Linked DNA regions of Caenorhabditis elegans. The gene in region 3 interacts genetically with the main gene of each other region. Each region holds a gene or a part of one and is shown on either strand. Other genes may lie near its edges.

What was found. Genes that interact genetically often act in the same process or in processes that back each other up.
Region 1: of hda-1 (region 3) and cbp-1, changing one suppresses a phenotype caused by changing the other (phenotypic suppression), as found in Caenorhabditis elegans (one study listed by BioGRID).
Region 2: of hda-1 (region 3) and unc-37, changing one enhances a phenotype caused by changing the other (phenotypic enhancement), as found in Caenorhabditis elegans (one study listed by BioGRID).

What each region holds. Positions count from the first base shown.
Region 1 is NC_003281.10:9,764,112-9,771,220, reverse strand, and holds the start of cbp-1 (Protein cbp-1), read right to left. Parts: upstream 4,712-7,109; 5' UTR 4,524-4,711; coding exon 4,484-4,523; intron 4,431-4,483; coding exon 4,354-4,430; intron 4,302-4,353; coding exon 3,513-4,301; intron 3,219-3,512; coding exon 2,853-3,218; intron 2,801-2,852; coding exon 2,674-2,800; intron 2,542-2,673; coding exon 2,392-2,541; intron 2,341-2,391; coding exon 1,828-2,340; intron 1,778-1,827; coding exon 1-1,777. UniProt on the Caenorhabditis elegans protein: Acetyltransferase enzyme. Acetylates histones, giving a specific tag for transcriptional activation. May prevent DNA damage-induced apoptosis by inhibiting cep-1-dependent transcription activation of the programmed cell death activator egl-1.
Region 2 is NC_003279.8:6,740,088-6,747,757, reverse strand, and holds unc-37 (Transcription factor unc-37), read left to right. Parts: upstream 1-2,428; 5' UTR 2,429-2,433; coding exon 2,434-2,514; intron 2,515-2,566; coding exon 2,567-2,710; intron 2,711-2,962; coding exon 2,963-3,473; intron 3,474-3,560; coding exon 3,561-3,756; intron 3,757-3,809; coding exon 3,810-4,557; intron 4,558-5,075; coding exon 5,076-5,234; 3' UTR 5,235-5,451; downstream 5,452-7,670. Other genes in the region: fnci-1 (FANCI helical domain-containing protein), read left to right, coding at 158-249, 346-481, 1,364-1,426; W02D3.12 (Succinate dehydrogenase assembly factor 4, mitochondrial), read right to left, coding at 5,452-5,690, 5,739-5,769; cytb-5.2 (Cytochrome b5 heme-binding domain-containing protein), read right to left, coding at 5,994-6,326, 6,378-6,470; dhod-1 (Dihydroorotate dehydrogenase (quinone), mitochondrial), read right to left, coding at 6,747-6,906, 7,370-7,444. UniProt on the Caenorhabditis elegans protein: Transcriptional corepressor that functions with the neural specificity gene unc-4 to govern motor neuron identity. In concert with unc-4, represses the expression of VB-specific genes such as ceh-12, thereby preventing the adoption of VB motor neuron fate.
Region 3 is NC_003283.11:14,523,600-14,530,320, forward strand, and holds hda-1 (Histone deacetylase 1), read left to right. Parts: upstream 1-1,789; 5' UTR 1,790-1,808; coding exon 1,809-1,982; intron 1,983-2,028; coding exon 2,029-2,146; intron 2,147-2,191; coding exon 2,192-3,058; intron 3,059-3,151; coding exon 3,152-3,378; 3' UTR 3,379-3,812; downstream 3,813-6,721. Other genes in the region: ril-1 (RNAi-Induced Longevity), read right to left, coding at 1-49, 209-314, 363-512.

The DNA.
Region 1 (7,109 bases), on a different chromosome or scaffold from region 3:
GGTGGATGGCAGTGGAAGATGTAGTCATCTCCTTCTGATGGTGGACACGCCCAAATATGAGCCATTGTGTAGCCCAGCATCTTCGCGTAATCCAAATAACCCAAAAGAAGTTCGTGATACACATCGGTTCTCAGCTCCCTTGGCTGGAAGAAGTGAACAGAATCGAGATAGGCAATGTAGACACGTCGAGCATTTGGAGCAGGACATGCACTACCGTACTCCTGTACGTGAAGACCAAAGAAACACACTTCGACTCCATCAATGATCTCGAAGGCAAAAACTGCCTTTGTGCGATAGGGGAACTTTTCAGGGAATTGATTGCTCTCCACGTACTTCTGTTTCATCTGCGCTTTGACTTCTGCTTCTTTATCCTGTACACATAGTGTTCGAATGATGACTGGATACTTGTGAGCTTCTGCTTGTAACTGCTTCTTTATGAAACCGTTGACACGATCTTCGAGGAATGTAGACAGCTTATTATGTGGCAATTTGCTAGCAAGATACTTGTTATCTGGCTTTTGATATTTCTTAGCAGTCCGGCAACATTCGCATATAAATCCTTCTGGATAAACTTTCTTATCATGAAGTGCACATATCCGATGCCATTTCCTCATACAATATTTACATCTCTCGAAAGGCTCATAATCAATAACACTGTTCTTCTGTTCCGTAAACGATGTTTTCGGTGCCATGTTGTTTCGATCGTTGGGATTTTCGGAAAGTGATATTCCTTCAGGAGGAAGAGCATCGAAACATTTCTGACAATAAGTATATCTCTCCGTAACTGTCACATTGTACTGCGTAGAACTTTGTTCGAATACCCAGTATTGCTGTTCTCTGGCTATCGTGCACATTGCTGCACCGTAACAGAACAATGAAAGAGGTGTGAATGCAAGTTTCTTGGCACAACAGTATCCCATACTCTTCATCACTGGATCCATTTCACTCACAAACATTTCCGACAGCTTAAGACCGTATTTGTATACTTTACTGTTCTTTCTGTTATACAGCCAAGCATTGTCAAGCATCAGCCAAATGTCATCACAGAATTGACCAGCGTTTTGATACTGACCCGCATACAATTTCTTGTGAACGGTTTCCAAATCCATTGGGCGCTTGATGATCTCGTGATAATCGGGAATATTTAAAAGTTTTGCATCGACTGGAACTCGGAATGGTGCAGCGTCTTCGGATTTATCTAGCTTCTCCCATACAGGAAGCAAGAATTTTATAAGATCCTCTTGACTGAACACTGTATCTTCAGTTGGTGGCGGGGTAGGTTCTCGCTTTGCTTGTTGCTCTTTAGGTTTCGATTCAGCTACACCATCCTTAGTATCCTTAACTGATGGAGGAGCTTGATTTGAAGACTCTTCAGGATCTTCTTCCTTCTTAACAATTCCGTTCATAATTGGAGCTGGCGTTGATGAGCTCGAGCCACCGAATCCAATAGCCGTTGGTGGTCTTGAACTTAACGAATCTGTATTCTGATCGTCCATGGGTTCAGTTTTCGGTTGCAGCATAGCACTGACAGTAGATGAAGCTCCGATGTTTGGAGTGCTGTTACCACTTGACGGGAATGTCGAAGAATTATTGACCTGTGGAACTTGTCCATTCGGAGGAATCTGCTGATGCATGTTGGAATTCGGAGCACCTCCCCATGGTTGATTTTGTTGACTTGGTGCAACTGCCATACTACTTCCTTCAGAATGAACATCACTACGTCCACCTTCCACACCAAGCATCTGAGCGAGCTCGTTCGACGGTGGAATTGCGTATTCTGAAATGAAAATTGGTTAAAGGGTGAAATTTTAAAAAAAAAAAACTTACGATCATGTGCAGCAGCTCCTTGATTGAGTCTTGAATTCTTTTTCTCTTGAAGCTCTTTTTGTATCTTGTAAATTTTCTCAGCCAACAAATGATAATACTCTTCTCTGTCATTTGCAGATTCAAACATCTCTTTTTCGACTTTTCTGGCATAGGCTATCAAATCTTTTAACCGATTATCATTCATCGCTTCCTGATTCGGTTCCGGGAAAATCGCTTTAACCAATTTTCCGACAAGGTGATTTCTGAGATCTTTTGTGACTTGATGATGCCATTCTTTCGTACAATCTGGCATATCTGGTGGTGGCAAGTTTGGAATTTCTCCATTTCCACCAGGTGGTCTCGGTCCTCCACGATTTGGTCCGTTTTGGAATGGATTGCCATTGAATCCTTCGAATAGAGAATTTGTAATATTTCCAGTTCGCATCGCTGGCGATCCAAACTGATGAAGTCCATCACCTTCTGCGCTTCCGTTCGAATTCCCGTTGACTCCTATTAGATTTGCAAGATCGGGCACTGAAAATAATCAAATATTTAAAAAATGTTCTTGAGTAGGATAGAACGTACATGAAAATTGTAATGGAGTATCTTGTATCCTTTTGAGTGGTTTGCAGACAGGACAATCTTCCCTTGAGCAGTTTTTCCAGTGAGCTATTATTTGGCGAGACGATGCACAATGAGCGACTGAACATTTTTTTGTAGTTTGTGTGGTATCGGCTGAAAGAGATTTCAAACAGTGGCTAGAGTGAAGCGAAATTTTGGGTGGGAATAGGCGCTTCTTCTTGCGAAAATGTTCGAAACTCTTTCCAGATAGAGAAAAAGAAGCGACACGACGGGTAATATACTTACAATGACATAAACGACCAACATTGCAGCTTGTCATGTGTGTCAATACTTCTTTCATCGTTGAGCAATGGGGTAATGTACAGGCAGCATGTGGAGGTGGTTGATTCTTCGCAGCGAAATCACGATTTTCCTGTAAAAGCTGATGATGTATGAAGGAAACCAGAACATACTGTATAACATACCTTCTCACGTTGAGAACATTTGTGTGCATGAAGTAATAGAACAAGTTGTTGCTGAATAAGCTTCCGCTTCTCGGGATCTTGATGCGTTGCAAGCATGCTTGATCCAGGAGTTGTCGCCCTTCCAGCACCATTTCGTTGAGCTGCCGCCGCAGCTTCTTGCTCTCGTTGTTGCTGCTGTTGTTGTTGTGCAGCCGCCTGAGCTTGAGCTTGTGCAGCAGCTTGCTGTTGAGCAGCGTGTTGTGCTGCAGCAGCTTGTGGTCCAGGTTGACCATTTGGAGGACCGTGTGACATTCCTGGATGCCCATTGCTCATCATCATCATTTGATTCGGGCCTCGAATCGGTTGACCATTACTGTCCATCATCATCTGAAATGTAGAAGATTATTGTTATGATTCCAAGCAACTTCCAACCAATATTTGTGGAAGATTAGGGAATTATTGGAAACTTAAGTTTCAATTACACATCGATTTTGATTTGGCCAAATTCACGTCAAGCTAATAAGTGTTCCATTTTTGTTTGATCTTCAAAAATTGTCAGAATCGCACAGTTAAGATCATGCTGATCTTACCAATTTTCTAGGTTAAAAACAAAAAAAATTCCCGCATTTTTTAAAGATCAAACCAAAATGAAATAGAAATCAGGAAATAGTTTCTACTTACCCCTTGATGCATCATTGGATATCCACCGGGACGACCATATTGTTGCATAAATTCTGGTCGCTGCTGACCATATTGTCCGTGTTGCATAAACTGCCGATCAGTCATCATTGGCTGCATCATTGCTTGTTGGTTTGGAGGTATTCCAGGTCTTCCTTGTGTCGGCATTGGTCCACTTCTTGGCATTGCTCCATTCATCATAGCACCACGTCCCATGGGTTGTCCAGGAGTTGGTCCGCCCCGACTAACTCCTGGATATCCTTGAGGCATTCCCTGGGCTCCTGGTGGAGGACCACCTTGTGCGTACGGATATCGATGCATCATTCCTGGGAATTGTTGTCCTTGTGCACCCATCATCATTTGCTGTTGCTGATCTCCTTGGAACATTCCTGGTTGGCCTGGTCGCATTTGTGGTTGGCCTGGGCCTGGTGGTTGTGGACCTCCAGGACTGGGCCCCGGCACTCGACCCATAGATGGAGGTGACATCATATTCGGTGTACCATTTGGCATCATTGGACTCCTATTAAATGCATTTTGCTGTCCAGGCGGATATGCCTGCGGCCGAGGTGAATTGTTCGACGTTTGTGATGGATTCATTAGAAGTTCTTGAAGCACTGATCCATTGACACCTCCTCCCATATTCTGTGGCGGCTGCTGAGGTTGCGACTGTCCTGGTTGTAGATTGAACCCGCCATTGTTTGATGGTGCTGGTTGTGGAGTGCCTTGTGGATGAGGTGTCGAGCCAGAAGGACCACCGGATCCTCCAGCTGATGTGCTTGGATTATTGTCTACCTGAACAACAATTTTTATAAAACAGAGTGTTAATTCAAACAAAAAAACTTACATCTGTATCTTTACTAGAAGTTGGGAATGCTTCGAGACTTTCGAGAGCACTTAGCGCATCTAACCCAGAATCATAGTCTGAAAAGTTTAAAGGATCATACCGTAGCATCTTAACTTTCCTAGCAACTTACCGCTATCAGCGCGAGATTTTTTTGATGGTGGTTCATCCATCAATTAGTAGAAAAATGTATATATTTGACAAAATTCGAACCAAGTGAACTCTTTCTACTTCTCGGAACACCTGAATTGGTTGCGTCCGTCGGTTTTTGAATTCCCACGTCAACCACTACTTCATCAGAGTTCCCGCTTATTTGGGTTAGTTTGGCAAAATCACCAGATATAGCTGTTTGTTTCTGAAAAAAATGAAATGGATATATGGATTTTTGTCGGTGAACGGAGGAGGGAGGAGGAAGAGTGAGAAGAACATCGGTGAAGTAATGAGTGGAGGGTGGTTAGAGAGCGAGAGCACTTATGAAAAGAGGAGGCGAATTGAAGAGAGACAGACAGTGAGAGAGAAGGAGATGGAAAATCAATAGAATGAACGGAGGATGGTTGCACTTTTTAAAGTTTACCTGCACCATTGTATAAGTTGTTTAAGCGTGTAATAATAGAGAAGGAGCGTTTAAATGCTAAAATTGAATTAATAACATCAAATTCCAATGAATGGGTTACTGTAGCTATCATAAATTTAGAGCTTAAAATTGGATTCATAGCCAATTTTGCAAAACTTCGAAAACAAATTTTAATTAGAAACACTATAGTAATATACGGATTAACAAAAAAAAGTTGTTATGCAGTCTTGAGAGATATTTTTAAAAAATACTATGCATAATGAAGAAGGCGGGCATCTATATTGTGAAATTCGGGTATTTTTAAGCATTAAAGGTGTTTGGGACCATTAAAAACATGAATGCTCTAGATACTTACAGGTATATCTAGCTCGATCGATATTTGCTAAGCCAACCTTATGAGGCTAACTTCTCTTTCTCAGATGATCCCGTCGATTCACATGGTACTACTGACCCGATTCTGAACTGTATTTTGACTTAAAAAGTTGCAAAACATTTTCCACGTGACACGTTCAAAAGTTCATGATCGTGAAGAAGCGCAGAACACCGTTCGTCAAAATAACATGGTCAGTGGGAGAGACGACAGACAGCACGAGTCAGCCACCCACGAAGTAGTGTGTATCGGGAGAGAACGCCGACAGCGGGTGCCCCATGCTGTGGGTGTCTCGCAACGAAAACCGCGTTTCGCGAGATACGGTAGAACATTAACCGCACGCGACACGCACGCACACGAAGGAATATGCCATTTGGACAGGCTCCGTTTACAAGCATCTAATGGATCGAGATGAAAGTTTTGATTATAATTTTTGGTGTGATATTGAAGAAAATAACATTATTAACAAAGTTTGAAAGATGAGAGAACGAGAGCGAAACAGATAGATGAATGATGAGGTTGCAAAGATAAAAGTTAAATTTAATAATGAATTTGAGCTACTAGGAGCAAAATACATAGAAAATCGTAGAGCAATAGTATTTAGTAGTTGAATACTGTATATTATCACTTCGTGTAATGCCAGAGTAAGAGCCAGACTTGAAGCTCTGAAAAATCGATAACCACGATTGAGCACTTAATGGTTCAGTTTGTGAGCTCGCATTGAACTCTCATGAGCCGGCAGTGGCTTGAATAGATAGAGAATAATCGAAAGTGTAATGTTCTAAAAGGAAATTATCAAATACCACCGGAGAAGCAAAAAAACTGAGGAGGACGGAAGAGCGGCAGTTCAAAAAGTGCGAGAGGCGGGGCAATAGCCCTCCTCGTCCGACTGTCGATATCACCAAGAGAGGCGGAGCGACAGGGTGGCGGAGGGTGGTAGACTGGCAGTAGTTCTCAGTCATCCCAATAGACTTCTGAAGTTGACGACGATGAAGACTGAGATTCCGGACGACGACGCCGTGCTGCTGTCCTCAAGATTGTAATAGTGTGGCCGAGATGGGGCGGGGCCTCCGTTTCACACTCTATGCGCCCCTCTACTGCTCAGCGCTGGGCGTTCCGTCCGTTTCTCTACGCTCTCGTTTCCTTATCTTTCGGTATCGAAGGTGCAATTAAGGATCCGAATATACAGTAATTCATGATTCTTACGATAATGCGCATGATTGAACTGTTCTTAAACATAAAGTGTGGGAATAGCTAGACGTGTTGAGTATATTATATGTGAATGAATACGAATATTTCTAGAATAGAAAAATCTACAATCGGTCATGTTCGTTGGAAGCAGAATTCCAACAGGGTCCTAAACTGAAAACCAAAAATGATATGAATAAACATAGTATCTAGTTAGAAGGAAACATTGATTACTGTACCGGTAACTTACAAAAGACATAGCAGCAGAGTAGCTTTTTGAACTAGAAAAAATATCGATCTGAAAGTATTTCAGACTACTGTTCAGCTAAATACTTTATTGAAAATTTTCTGTAGAGAAGTTTTATCCAGCTCATTTTTTAAGAAAAAAAATCTAAAATTATTCTCGATTTTATGTGAAAATTTTCAGCGTTCTTACAAAAAAGCTTCCATTGTGTTTTCCTACCACTTAAACCACCAAAAGTTTGCAAAATTAGCATTTGAGCAATTTCACGGGTCAGCCGGACACCGAAAAGCAGTGAAAAATTCAAGTCAAAATTTAAAATCGGTTTTTTAGATCAAAGTGTTCCTCTGTTGCTAAATTTTTTGTAGTGGCCTATGAAAGTCAAG
Region 2 (7,670 bases), on a different chromosome or scaffold from region 3:
TTTTATATCAATTTTATCCGGTAAAAGCACAAAAAATAGATTTTTCGCCAGAAACACAGAATAAAGCGAAAAATGCAGCCTTGGCTGTGACCTTCAAGCTACAAAATTATATATTTGAAAATCTTTTTTTTAGACATTTTCAAAAATATTTTTAAAGAACAATTCAATTGGATATCGTGACTTCCGAATCGATATGGAAGTTCTTCGCAACAAATTGAGCGGGCAAGCTAATGAAGAAGTTTGTGAACCGTACGTTTTAAATTTCAAAAAGTATTGTTTCTCCAGTTTATTATTGAATCCTCTTTTGTTTCTTTAAATAATTTTCAAGTAACGAGATGCTTTCAGAGCCACCAAACGAGGCCGTAGGGACCCAAGTATGGAAGATGAAGAAATAGAAGAAACTGAAGAGAGTACAACATCTGCAAGAAGAAGCTCCGAAGAACCCGAAGAGCCAAGAGATCAAGAGAACACTGTTGGAGTGGTATGTGTACGAGATTTTATGAGTTGTGTAACCACTACTTGAGCTGATTAATTCTAAGGCCGAAAAATATTTTATTTGGACAAAAACTTTAACTCTAAAAAATAAAGTTTCAAAAAACAATTCGGCAATTAAAATTTCGAAAAAATTAAAGTAAGTCTCCATATCTTTCAAAAATCTTACAAATGTTAAAATCCAAAAATAGTTTACTGTTTCAACAATTCCTATGATGTTTTGAATAAAAAAGAAATCATTATTTTTCAATATAAATTGTGGATATTCGGTGCGAAACTGTTTCAATGCGCTGATTAATAGGACCACATTTGTGTCAAATGTTCATTTCAATTTGTGAAATGATCTAAAACAGCGGCATCCCAGACATAAAATGTATGTAGTTCCAAATGCCTCGACCACATACATTTTATTATTCTCATTCACCCATTAAACATCCCTTTTCCATCAACCGACATCAATTTGACCCAAGGTGACCCTTATATGGGAATTTTCTATTTCTGGAACATAAATCTGACTTTCATTGTATTCGTTGTCATAATGATGACATAAAGTGCAAACAAATGTGTACACCATCGTCTCACCACCATCTGTTACACACATCCAACCAATTATCGCCTTCTCGAATCTTTGAATGTTTATAACCACCCATCACATCCCTCCTTTTTCGATAAAATCTAACATTGTGGGAAATGAATGTGTCAATTACTGAAATGAAATGATTGATCAAAGGGCATAACCTTGTTAGTTGTTGATAGCTTCATTTACCTTAATCCTTATATAAATTTACGCTGCCCTTAAATCAAGTGTCGTGTTCAAGAATATATTTTTCACGAGACGACTTGCACTCTTAATCTAAAAATGTATTTTTAGGTGAAGCAGGAGGTTGATGACGAAGAAGAAAGTGTCTCCAGAGGCACGAGTCCAGTCTTCTGATCAGTTAGCAATGAAACGACAATTATATTTGATTTCCTAATGAGTTTAAACTCTCGAGTTTTTATATGTGTAATATATTCTTCAACACTCCGGAATGCTTCTAATTAGTTACAAATGACAAAATGGAGCTTCATTCATGTTTTGGTTTTTTTTTAAATTTTCATGACTGCTACAGTATACCGTCTTGTTGTTTAATCTAATAGAATCATTCAAGAGTTTTTATTCTTTCCATTTGAATCTCAATTTTCACTATTATCATTTGATTCTCATCTCATTTTCTTACCGATTTTCAATCTCAAATTATTTAAGAACATACCATGTCAATAAACTTATTATTTGTTAAACATGATTTTTTAAAAATATTTTCTTCAAGACAGGTTTATGTCTCTTTATTCAATATTTCAACCTTTTCCGTTTTTTTAGATAATTTTGTGAGTTTTTTATACTGGAATTGTGATTATGTACATGTAAAATATTTATAAATGCTTCTCTCTATAGTAAGTTGCAGCTTCATCGTGTTTGATTCGAAATATTAGTTAGAAATCCTCGGATCCTCGTGTTACTTGAATATCAAACTTATTGGATACATTCATCTTCTACACTCGGGCTCAAAAGAGCTCAAAACAAATGTGCTCTATCGACAACTCCTCCCCCCATTCGGTCACCCATTCAGCGTCGCATTCATCGCCGCGCGTTCGTCCTCCTCGACACCAATACCTCCTTCATTCTTCAACGTTAGTGGGGCTATATGACCAGTCGTTTTGCAATTAATGTATGATTCTCTCCGTCTACACCACTGGAAACCCATGTCCTCTTTCTTTGTTTCTTCGTCTCGTTGTCAACGTCTATTCAAACCACGTGCTATTTCTTGAGTTTTGTTGTCTTCTCCCAATCCATCACTAGTCTGTTCTTCCTTGCATTTTTTTGATCGAATTTTTAAAACTCCTCTCATAATTTTTATGTTAATAATTCACTATCCACTTGATTGTATTTAATTTTCAGTAAAAATGAAGGCATCGTATCTGGAAACCCTCGATCGAATCAAAGACGAGCATGCGGAAATGTCGAAGCATGTCAACCAGCAACGAGTAAGCTTAATTTTGTAAGAGAAATTTTAGTATATTGAAAACAATTTTGCAGTCGGATATCGAAAAGGTTGCGTTAGAGAAAGAAAATATGAATAGATCGTATATGACGTACGCTGAAGTATCAAATACTCTTCGTAGCGATCTTCGAAAAGCAGAAGAAATCAACAAACGCCTTCAGGAATTCATCATGCAATCGGTAAATTAACTCGTCAATAATGTTATTAAAAAATCGAACAAAAATATAGAAAAAGCTATTACAATTTTTTTGTTGAAATATTTGAACTAAATATTATGGAAACGTTATAATATCTATTGGATTGTACCTTGTTCAACTCAAACATGCTCCTCTTTCCATATATTCATTTATAAATAGAAGAAAAATTATTATGTAATATTTTTAATTCATAATAATCAATTTTAGGTAATATTATAAATGTATATTTTTCAGTTGGCTCCTCAACTATCTCAAGATAATCAAGCAAACTGCCTCGCCGCACTGGAAGCTTTCAAAACCGCATCACCACGTGAAAATGGAAATGGAGCACCAGCACTTCCACCAGGTTTTCCTCCCGGTGCAGCTGGAATGCTTGGAATGATGCCAAATATGCCATTCGGAATGAGCCCTGCAATGAGTCAACTATTCAATCAATTCGCATCACCACATGTCAACGGTGGAGATGGAGCCGGTGGAAGTTCTGGAGGTGCAAGTGAAGCGAAAAAGGCCAAGCTGGAAGATCCAGATGATGGAGAACTTGAGATTGATGTCACAAATGATGATCATCCAAGTACTGCATCAAATGGAGGCGCAGCTAATAAAAATGGAAGAGATAGCACAAATAGTGTTGCCTCATCGGGAGCATCTACACCGAGCATCGCATCAAATTCTAGAGCAAGACAACAACAGCAGCCACTCGCTGGGCTTCAAGGATTGGAGCAAATGAACTTTTTAGCTGGATTCAGTACGTGTTTACAATCTTTTGAAGTGTGCTAAGTGGAGGGAGCAAATACCAAAACTTCAGGCAATGCCAAAATATTTCAATTTTCAGATCCAAATCTTCTCCGACAAGCTAGTGCTGCTGGAGGATTCAACTTTTTGAATGATCCCCATGCACAGGCCCGTCTTGCAGCTGCCATCGGGCAAATCGGTAGCAGACCGGCCTATTCATTCAAAATTGTGGACGGTGGAGTTCCAACACCTACATCCTTCCCTCCAGATGCACAGAAAGGTCCCGGAATTCCGACGTAAGAAAATATAATAATTGGCTTTGATTCAAATTTGAAAAAAAAAATTGCAGAGGTCTCAAGAAGAAAATGGAATTAAATCACGGAGAAGTAGTTTGTGCGGCCACAATTTCCCGTGATAACAGTCGTGTTTATACTGGTGGAAAAGGATGTGTTAAGATCTGGGATGTCAAAGAATCAGATATTTCTGGCGCAACGGTTGTGAATCGGCCTCCAATTGCATCCTTGGATTGTCTCAAAGAGAACTATATTAGATCTTGTAAACTCTTTGAAGATGGAAATACACTTCTGATTGGAGGAGAAGCCAGTACTGTTGCTCTTTGGGATCTTACAACTGAAACAAAAACTTTGGACTTGGAAACTGATTCACAAGCATGCTACGCGTTGGCGATGTCACCAGATGAGAAATTATTGTTCGCATGTCTTGCTGATGGAAATATCCTCATTTATGATATCCATAATAAGGTGAAAGTTGGAACCCTACCTGGACATCAAGATGGAGCATCATGTCTCGATCTCTCAAAAGATGGTACAAAGCTCTGGTCAGGTGGTCTTGACAATTCTGTTAGATGCTGGGATCTTGCACAACGAAAGGAAGTTGCGAAGCATGATTTTGCGAGCCAAGTTTTCTCTCTTGGATGTTGTCCAAATGATGAATGGGTGGCTGTTGGTATGGAGAATAATTATGTCGAGGTTCTGTCAACAACTGGAAAAGAAAAGTATCAATTGACACAACACGAATCATGCGTCCTTTCGCTCAAATTTGCGCATTCCGGAAAGTTCTTCATTTCAACTGGAAAGGTATGTTTTGATTATACTTTGTCATTTACCGTATTTCTTCTATTAGTATGGCCTCCCTATTAGACTTGCACTCCCTATTAGTATTGCCCCTCGGAGACCTTCCAAAAATTAGTATGGCACTCCCTATTGCACTCTCTAATAGTCTTGCGTTTACTTTTTTTTTATTGCAAACCCATCTCGCTAATTTCAGGATTTCAACAATATTTTTTGCCTATTGTGCAACAATTTTTCACAAAATTTATACGAAATTGAAGTTTTTGAACTTATAGGTTACAATTAAAATCAAAATTTTTTGTATTTTTACATAAGATTCGAGCTTTTTCAGAAAAAAACTAGTAAGCTCAAAGTCAGAAAAATATTCTGAAAATTAGTATTGCACTCCCTAATATTCTTGCACTCCCTATTAGTCTTGCAAGCGGGAAGACCATCGAAAAATAGTATTGCAGCCATATTAATAGAAGAAATACGGTAATTGGCTCAATTTTTCTAATTGAAACCTCATAATCTCAATTTTTCAGGACAATGCTCTCAACGCCTGGCGTACTCCATACGGAGCATCACTCTTTCAACTAAAAGAGAACAGCTCCGTTCTCTCATGTGACATCTCATTCGACGACTCACTCATTGTCACTGGATCAGGGGAGAAGAAGGCAACTCTCTATGCAGTTGAATATTAATTTTTTTCCGCAGTGAATTTATGATCATGATACTCAAAACCCCTATTCTGTACGATAATCGTTTCATCTCTCTCATCTCTTCTAATTTCGTTTGTCAAATTTTCGTATTTGTGTACCCTATTACGATTAATGTCACTCTATGTTTAAAACATTTATTTATTTGCACTACAAAACAATGATGATCTGACTTGACTTTAACAGCAATTAATAAAACATTTCAAAAATCTGAAACTCTTCCCTTCCTCTCCCAATCACCATATCGAGTTGGCTCTGGTCCAGCTGGTCCACCAACTTCTCCAGTTGACTTATTCACACCTCCCGGATGTTTCTTGAGGTGAGGATCTTCATATTGTTGTTCGTCTGCTTTATCAAGTGCTCCTTTCGGTGTCTTCTCAGCCATCACCTTCTCCTTCGCACTTTGTTTTGGTTTTATATCTGCGAATCGGCGGGAAGAATCTGAATCGTCAAGAAATTAGAAAATTGTTTTTTGTGTAAAATCCATACTCAAAATTGGACGAAGAATCTGACGAAGCATTTGATCTGAATATTTTTTTTAATTGTTTCAATAGGACTAATCTTGCGACTAAAGTTACATCGATATCTCCAAGGCTCCACCCATTTTTCCTTCAGTAACATATGAAAATATTGACAACAAATCTTTATCACATATATAAAAGTCCATAGAAACAAATGTTCTTTGATGCATTTCAAGAAAGTGGGCGCATAAGATCAAAAGAATAGGATAAGAGCTAAGGTAATTTAATTGAACATGCACTTGTACACGGCATAAATGACAAGTCCCATTGTAGTTGGAATCAGGAAGTTGGTCCATGTTGGTGAAGTCATAATTTCGGTGAAATCATTGAGGAGAGATGATGATTTTTCGTTTTTCGAAGGTTTCGCAGCCGCTGTCTCGACTTTTGGAACGTCTGATTCTGGCAATTGACCAATGAGATATTCATTGGCCATTTCAATAGCATCTTTTGAGTGCCCAACATCGAGGAATCCAACTGTAGCATCTTTACCGGCTAATTGAGTGATGACTTCTTCACCTCCTGGATGCTCATTCAAGAACTTTGTCACATCGTAGACCTGTAAGGAATGATTTCGATATTTAAATTTAAAAAATGAAAAAAAAATTACCTTTCCGGAGATGACAATCCAACACGATTGATCAGCATCTTCCCAGTTGTGCTTTGAGACCTCATCGAGAGAAATGACACGTAGCTCCGACATAATTGATGAACCCTGAAACAAAAAATGGTCTCTAAGTCGTTGAAAATTATTCAAAAGTGATATATTTCGGTTGAAAACCAGAAACTTTAGTATAAATTGAAAAAAAAAACATAAGGAAATCAAATAATTTATGCAGAAAATACTAAGAATTACCCTACAATCTCATGAAAAGGCACATTGAACATCGGAAGAAAATAATTCAATTATAAAACAATTTTGAAACACCCATGAAAATGAAGTCAACCTGAAAAAATAACAAAAATCTTGGGAATATAATTATTTCGTTTTTTCTCTGTGATCAGCTCCAATTGCTTCCGAAACATGCGAAAATCCATCTTTCCGTAAAAGTTCGACAAGTTCTCGTTTGATTTTTCCGATTACCGGAAATCCTTCATAGACGAACGCGGAATAGAGTTGGACCAGACTAGCACCGGCTCTGAAATTTTACATTTAGTTAAATAAATTGAAATTAATACTTTGATTGAATAACGGTGGACTATACGGCCTGTGGGAAAATCAATAAAACCATTCTTACCATATATTGTACTCAAATGGTCAAATATTATAATTCAATTTTTATTTTGAGTCAAAAGGCGTTGAAAACTGTGTTTTTACTTTTCGAAAAATCTATATCACTGTATCATGTTTAAACCTTTAAAATGTTGAAATATGCATATTTTACATAATTAGAACATAAAACTGGAGAATAACATTTTTTTGATCGTCGATTTCCAAAGAAAAATAGGGGAAAACCGATTTTTCACTGCTTTTTGAAACGAAACAAAAAATGTTTCAAATTTTTTTTGAAAAGTTTTATAATAATATTTGGTCATTTTAGCAAGATAGGAATGGTTTTTGATAATTTCCCCACTCGACCTCGAACTGGGAAGTTCACTTACCTAATCTTTTCATATGCATCTGCTCCACTGAACACTCCTCCACAGCCGATAATTGGAATTTGTCCGTTTGTGAGTCTGAAATTAAACTATCAATGCGAACAAAATTAAACCAATTTTTTTTGTTGAAAAATTATCGATTTGAAAAATGATGAAAACTTAACTTACCATATTTGCGCAGTAAAACGAATCAAACTAAATACGCCGCCTGGTTTTCCCAGTGTAACCGGGGTGACAAGTGGCCAAAGAAAACGAAATAACAAGGGGACATGCGGTAAAAATGATGACAATTGTCTATAGTCTA
Region 3 (6,721 bases):
TGATGGTCTTCCTTTCCTTTGGAGTATTGAACCATGTGGCGTGGCTTGACTGCAATAATTAAAATAAAAATCAGTTGAATTCGTCAATTTATTTTCAGGAAAACTTAAAATAAACTACAAAAATTTTTAATGCAACATCGTGCCAGACGAAGTTGCCAGACTAAAATCAGGAAATATACTATTTTTTTTAAGTAAATCATCAACTCACTTGGCAGGGCGAATTTGTAGACTCCGTAGAGAATGACTCCTGAGTAAATGTAGAAACGGAAGATTGGGAGGTACTTCCAGCAATGGCGCCAGGACCACATTCTCAACTGAAATTGTCATTATTTATTTTCTTCATACTTTCCGGGAAATCTTACGTATTCTTGAGCGGTCCATGGCCGGGCTGGCATGCGTGGATGAAGGTCTGTGGCCGGGATTGGAGCATTTGGAGAAGCAACGACGACGGCGGCTCCTTTGACTGTCTCGGCAGTCCACTTTGCTGCCTCAAAGAGCTTTCCTACGACCATAGTTGATTACCTACAAAACTAAAAATGATTATGTAGTTAAGCTTTATTTGAATATTGATATTTTTAAGCTAAAAAAAAAGATAATTGACATAATTCAACATCGTGAGAGCGTGGGGAAAAATTGAACGTGAATTGCAAGAAATAAACAAAATAACTTATATTTATCAATATTTTACATCGAAAAAAAACTCAAAAAGAGCAATTTTTAGCTTAAAAATAAAAAATTGGGAAGCCAAAAACTGACGGCGGTTTTCGTCCCGCCCCTTTTTGCAAGATTGTGCGTGCTCGCGGTTGTGTGCAAACACGCCGCACACACTTACGACGCTGCGTTTTTTGTCTGCCTCCTGTTCTCGTTCAAAACTGTTTCACCGTTCACCTCGTTTTTCTCTCACTTTTCTGTTTTTCTTATTGTTTTCTACTAGAATTATATCTATATTTGTTCAAAATATAATAAAAAGACGACGCTTGAAGTGTTTCGAATAGTTATTTTCACTGAGCTGCACCTGTCTAATAGACCCACCGTTCAAGGAAGAAAATATCGATTTGTAGGCACTGAATAATATTTTTTAAACATTTTTCGATTCAAAATAAAAATACTTCCAGCAATGGCGCCAGGAAATTCATTGGAGAACTCACTCTCAAATATTAATCTCAATTTCGTAAAATGCTATTATCAAAAAATATCAATAGCACAGGCCACGTGGCTTTTGTTTTTTATTTAAGCTCCTCCCACAACTTTATTTCCGAAGTGAATTTAAAAATTAAACTAAAGGTCAATCATGGGAGGAGCCTAAATAAAAAAGAAATAAAAATCAAAAGCCATGTGGCCTGTGCGATTGATATTTTTTGATAATAGATTGTGGCTGGCTAGTTTAGATTCCTGTAGAAATTGTGCCAAGAAAATTTAAATAATTTCAAGACAAGGCCCAAAAGACAGTATATCATATTGTCAGAATTTTTTATTCCTTGGCACTGGCGAAATTTTCCAGTGCTCTAAATTATTCCAAAAAACCACAGCCACCTGTTTAAGTATATGTCTTTGAAAATTATATTCCTTCAAAGTTTTTACAAAACCTCAATTCTTATATTTTTCCGCTTCAATGATCTTGCCGAATTCAGTTTATTGATCAAAATGTGTTATAGTAATGAGCGTTTTCACGTCGCGTTTATATCGATTACCAAAAATTAGCCAAAAACTCGATCAATACTGCATAACCTGTCTTACACCTTCTCCTTCTCTTCATTTTATTTTTCTTCGAGCAATCTTGTTATTTCAGTCTACTGCGACCATCAAACATGAACTCAAACGGCCCGTTGATGGAGCACGGTAAGCGCCGTGTCGCCTACTACTATGACTCCAACATTGGAAATTACTATTATGGTCAAGGGCACGTCATGAAGCCACATCGTATCAGAATGACCCATCATCTCGTTCTCAACTATGGTCTGTACCGGAATTTAGAGATTTTCGTAAGTAATATTTCTTCATTGAAATATTGTAAACGTTTAATTTTAGCGCCCATTCCCTGCATCATTCGAAGACATGACTCGTTTTCACAGCGACGAGTACATGACGTTTTTGAAGAGTGCGAATCCAGATAATCTGAAATCCTTCAACAAACAAATGCTTAAGTGTAAGTTATATTCTTTTTAAAACTAAATGTATTGTCTCATTTCAGTCAATGTTGGAGAAGATTGTCCTCTCTTTGATGGTCTTTATGAGTTCTGCCAACTCAGTTCGGGAGGTTCTCTGGCTGCTGCCACTAAATTGAACAAGCAGAAGGTGGACATTGCTATCAATTGGATGGGAGGCCTCCATCACGCCAAGAAAAGCGAGGCGTCCGGATTCTGTTACACCAATGACATCGTTCTCGGTATTCTCGAGCTTCTCAAGTACCACAAGCGAGTACTTTACGTCGATATTGATGTTCATCACGGAGATGGAGTAGAGGAGGCGTTCTATACGACTGATCGAGTAATGACAGTGTCATTCCATAAATATGGAGATTTCTTCCCAGGAACCGGAGACCTGAAAGATATAGGAGCTGGAAAAGGAAAGCTCTATTCAGTCAATGTTCCACTTCGCGATGGAATCACCGACGTCTCTTACCAGAGTATTTTTAAACCAATCATGACAAAGGTTATGGAGAGATTTGATCCCTGTGCTGTTGTTCTTCAATGTGGAGCTGATTCTCTCAACGGAGATAGACTTGGACCATTCAATCTGACCTTGAAAGGCCACGGAGAATGTGCTCGTTTCTTCCGAAGCTACAACGTTCCACTTATGATGGTCGGTGGAGGTGGATACACTCCAAGAAATGTGGCACGTTGTTGGACGTACGAAACCTCGATTGCCGTCGATAAGGAAGTTCCAAATGAGTTGCCATACAATGACTACTTCGAATACTTTGGACCAAACTACCGACTTCACATCGAGTCGTCGAATGCAGCAAATGAAAATAGCTCCGATATGCTGGCTAAATTGCAAACTGACGTCATCGCCAATCTCGAGCAGCTCACTTTTGTTCCAAGTGTTCAAATGAGACGTACGTTTTGAACGAATTTTTGTTCACTTTTTAGAATCTGTCAGAAAATTATTAGATGTTTGTTGAACACTTCATAATTATTCCATTTTTCAGCGATCCCAGAAGACGCCCTCTCTGCATTGAATGATGACTCATTGATCGCCGACCAAGCTAATCCCGACAAACGACTACCACCACAAATTACCGATGGAATGATTCAAGACGATGGAGACTTCTACGATGGTGAGCGTGAGGGAGATGATCGAAGAAACGAGAGCGATGCGAAGAGAGCAGCTCAGTTTGAGTCGGAAGGTGGTGAAAAGCGTCAGAAGACAGAGTAAAACACTAAAATGTGCCGCCGTCGAATTCAGTATCTCCTCTGAAAATAATATTCAATCACTGTACACCACTTTTTCCTTGTCAAATGAGTATTACTTTTTGATTTTCCTTAAATCTAATTTAATTTTCCGCCCAAATCCCAACTGTTTTATTTATTTTTCAAATTCAAGCACTTTTATTTGGAAGATCTCTTCACTTTTCCCCATTAATCCTTTTTTATCTCAGTATCCTTTACCCGTTTTGCACTTCCTCAACATCCTTACTCCTCACATCCACATCTAATCTACCCCCTTCAACGATTTCCATTTCTCTTGTCGTCCCACACTCCCCATTTTACTGGCACACAATTCCAATTCCACAGTCAGATCCTGAACACTTTTTTGTATTTTGGTGAATTTCTTCGTTTTTATTTATTTAATAAAATTGACTCGATTGGAACCGGCGCAACGTCTATCTTCAATTCGGAAATTGGAAAAATCGAATTTGTCACATTGGAATTCGAATGGAAGAAGACTAAAGTTTTTGCAGTTGACATCGTTTATGTCGTCAGTTTCAGCTGCTTCATAATTATTGTCTGGAAGCGAGCAATTATAACACGAATTATGATGACTACGCATGTGGTCTCATATTACAGAATAAATTCTCATTTCTATTTTCAATTGTATTCCTTGTCTGTCTTCATCTGATGTTGGATGGTGTGCTCCAAAACGGAGACCAACAAAAATTGCATCATAAAAATCCACTTATCCAAATTTTAGCCCCACCTGGGAATGGAATCGAATCGGCTCTCCGAGCACTCCTTTCACACAGAGACGGAGAGAGAAATTAGCTTTTTACTGGGTTCTTGTTGTTGAAAATGCAAAAAAGATGAAAACATGTTTCGATTCTTTCTTTGTTTTTCTTTTTTCTTTCCACTCATTCATACTTTTCATTGTTTGTCGTTCATTTTTCAAGTCTAAAATTCAGAAATATCGAAAAAAAAGGATATTCAATTTCGCAACGTAACCGATTTCCGGTTAGATATCAGCTTGAGCAGAAGGGGAGGTGCATGAAGAATAAAAGAAGAAGGAAGGGAGAAGCTCAATTTCAGTTGATGAACATTCGTTTTTTAGTTTTATGTGTCTTGTCCTCCATTGAACTTAACTCTTTAAAAATGGATTACCGGTTTTTGAACATCTCTTTTTCAGTTTATTAATCGCAACGTCACACGTAAAGCCGCAAGGGTTTATTCGGATGGGTCTCGCCACGAGGAAAAAGTTTAAGTGTACAGTTTAGAATGTACATCAAAAAGTTATACTTCAAACTTTTCTCGCAGCGAGACCCATATGATTAATTCTGTGCACCTTTAAGTTTCAGAAAACAGCGAAAGATAAATGAGATGACATGAGAAGTGTACTATTCTCTTTTTTTTTAATTTGGCAGCTGAAAATACCAAGAGAACGGAGTTCGTGGCGAGACCCATTGAGAAAATTGTACGTAATCTTCTGTACACTCACGAATTTACTATAAAATTTAAGAAAATATTATTTAAAGTTTTCTAGATGATTATTGAATCTATTTGAGATTTTCTGTTAGCCACAATTTGGCATAATTTTCAATGGATTCAAAGAATTTTCGTTAAATTTTTTTTCTAAATTTGAAATACTTTGAAATTCTTTAAAAAATCAAGTGAAGTGGTTTAATAAAAAGACTGAAAATATATTTAAAAAGGTTTTTGTCTCTTCGGGTACAATTTCAGATAGAAATTGACGAATTGAGATACAAAGCTTTTAAAGTTTACTGAAATCGTATTATTACAAAATGAACGCATATTAATTTTTCCAGAACAATTTTTTGTCGACAAAATGTAGGAAATGTGAGATCCGTGTAATAACGGAAATAGAGCTGGCAAGCCCAAGTTTTGAGAATCTCGTTTTAAAAAAGACCGTTACACTTTTTACCAATAAACCATATTATCACTTCAAGACGGTTTTTTACAGACTTTTAGGCATGTTGTGATATATATTTTAAACTATAGTTTAATCCATAGGAAAAATTCTGAAGCTTTTCGGACTTTTTTCTTTAAAAAAATTAGTGAACATTGAACACGGCTCTGGAATAAACCAAATTTCTTTATACTACTCGTCTTACTATTAGTTAGACAGTTTTCACATCTATAACAAGAATGATATTTTAACCAGAATTTCTTGAATATCCCAAGAAAAAGTCTTATTCTATGGTATTTTGCTATCTTCTCAAATTTCAAAGATCTTGAAAGTAAGTCGTTTGTTTTCTTTCACATTGTGGTCTAAAATTAAATGAAGTAAATATCTATGTACATCTGCGTCCATTCAATTTCCCACTTAAAACAGAAATAAATGTAGTGCCCTTGTTAATGAGCAAAAGTTGACCTTCATTGATGGAGTTGAGAATATCTGGAATCAATTATTTTCATTATTGACTTCCCCCTTTGTCTACTTCCTCGTTATTGAAATACTTATATTTCTAATTGGAACACTTGAATTTAGAGTCATAAACTTTTGAACATGATCTTTTTCTCGTTGAGTTATCTACCATTTTCCTCGTAAAACAACGATCGATAAAATCCAATAAAATCATCACTTTAATCTCGGATACCGGAAATTCGAATAAAATTGAAAATTGATCATGTGCTCCTCCAAATAATCATGTCGTTATGTTTCACCAACGCTTATTTTCCTCTCTTTTTTGAATATGAATAGTGTTTCTATGGTTTGAATGAATGATGTCATTTTGAATGGCACACTTGCCTTGCTTTCCATTATTTAACAATAGGCAAGTTCAGCCAATAATGTGGTAAATGTATTAAGTAAAGCTATGAATGAACCAAAAAGGTAAAGACGTGCATTTACTTTTTGGATTTGCGCAAACCTTCAAGAAATACACTAAAATGACTGTACTGACCTGAAGTTTTAAAGAATATTTATCTGAAAAGTTCAATTTGGAATTTTTCCATTTCACTTACTATTAGTTCATTATAGTTCAAAAGTAATGTTTTTAGTTTAAAGAAAGCCTGAAAAATATAAAAATTTGGTTATACTCCTTTCATATAGCTGATTTATTTTTATATATCCACAACTAAATTATATCAGTAGTTGGACTTTTATATTTACCTACTTGAACCCGAAAAAATTATTTATTTTTTAAAATTGTCTCAAAGTTATTTTCAACAGTAGAGCGTGTCTTCCAATAAACACAACATACACTTTGTTTGTGCTCATTAAAAAAATTAAAATATAACTTAAAAACATTAACTGCCACATTTATAGAAATGTTCAGTTAGAGATAGAAATTTTTAATCAAGCTCCCAATATTTAAATTCAAAAT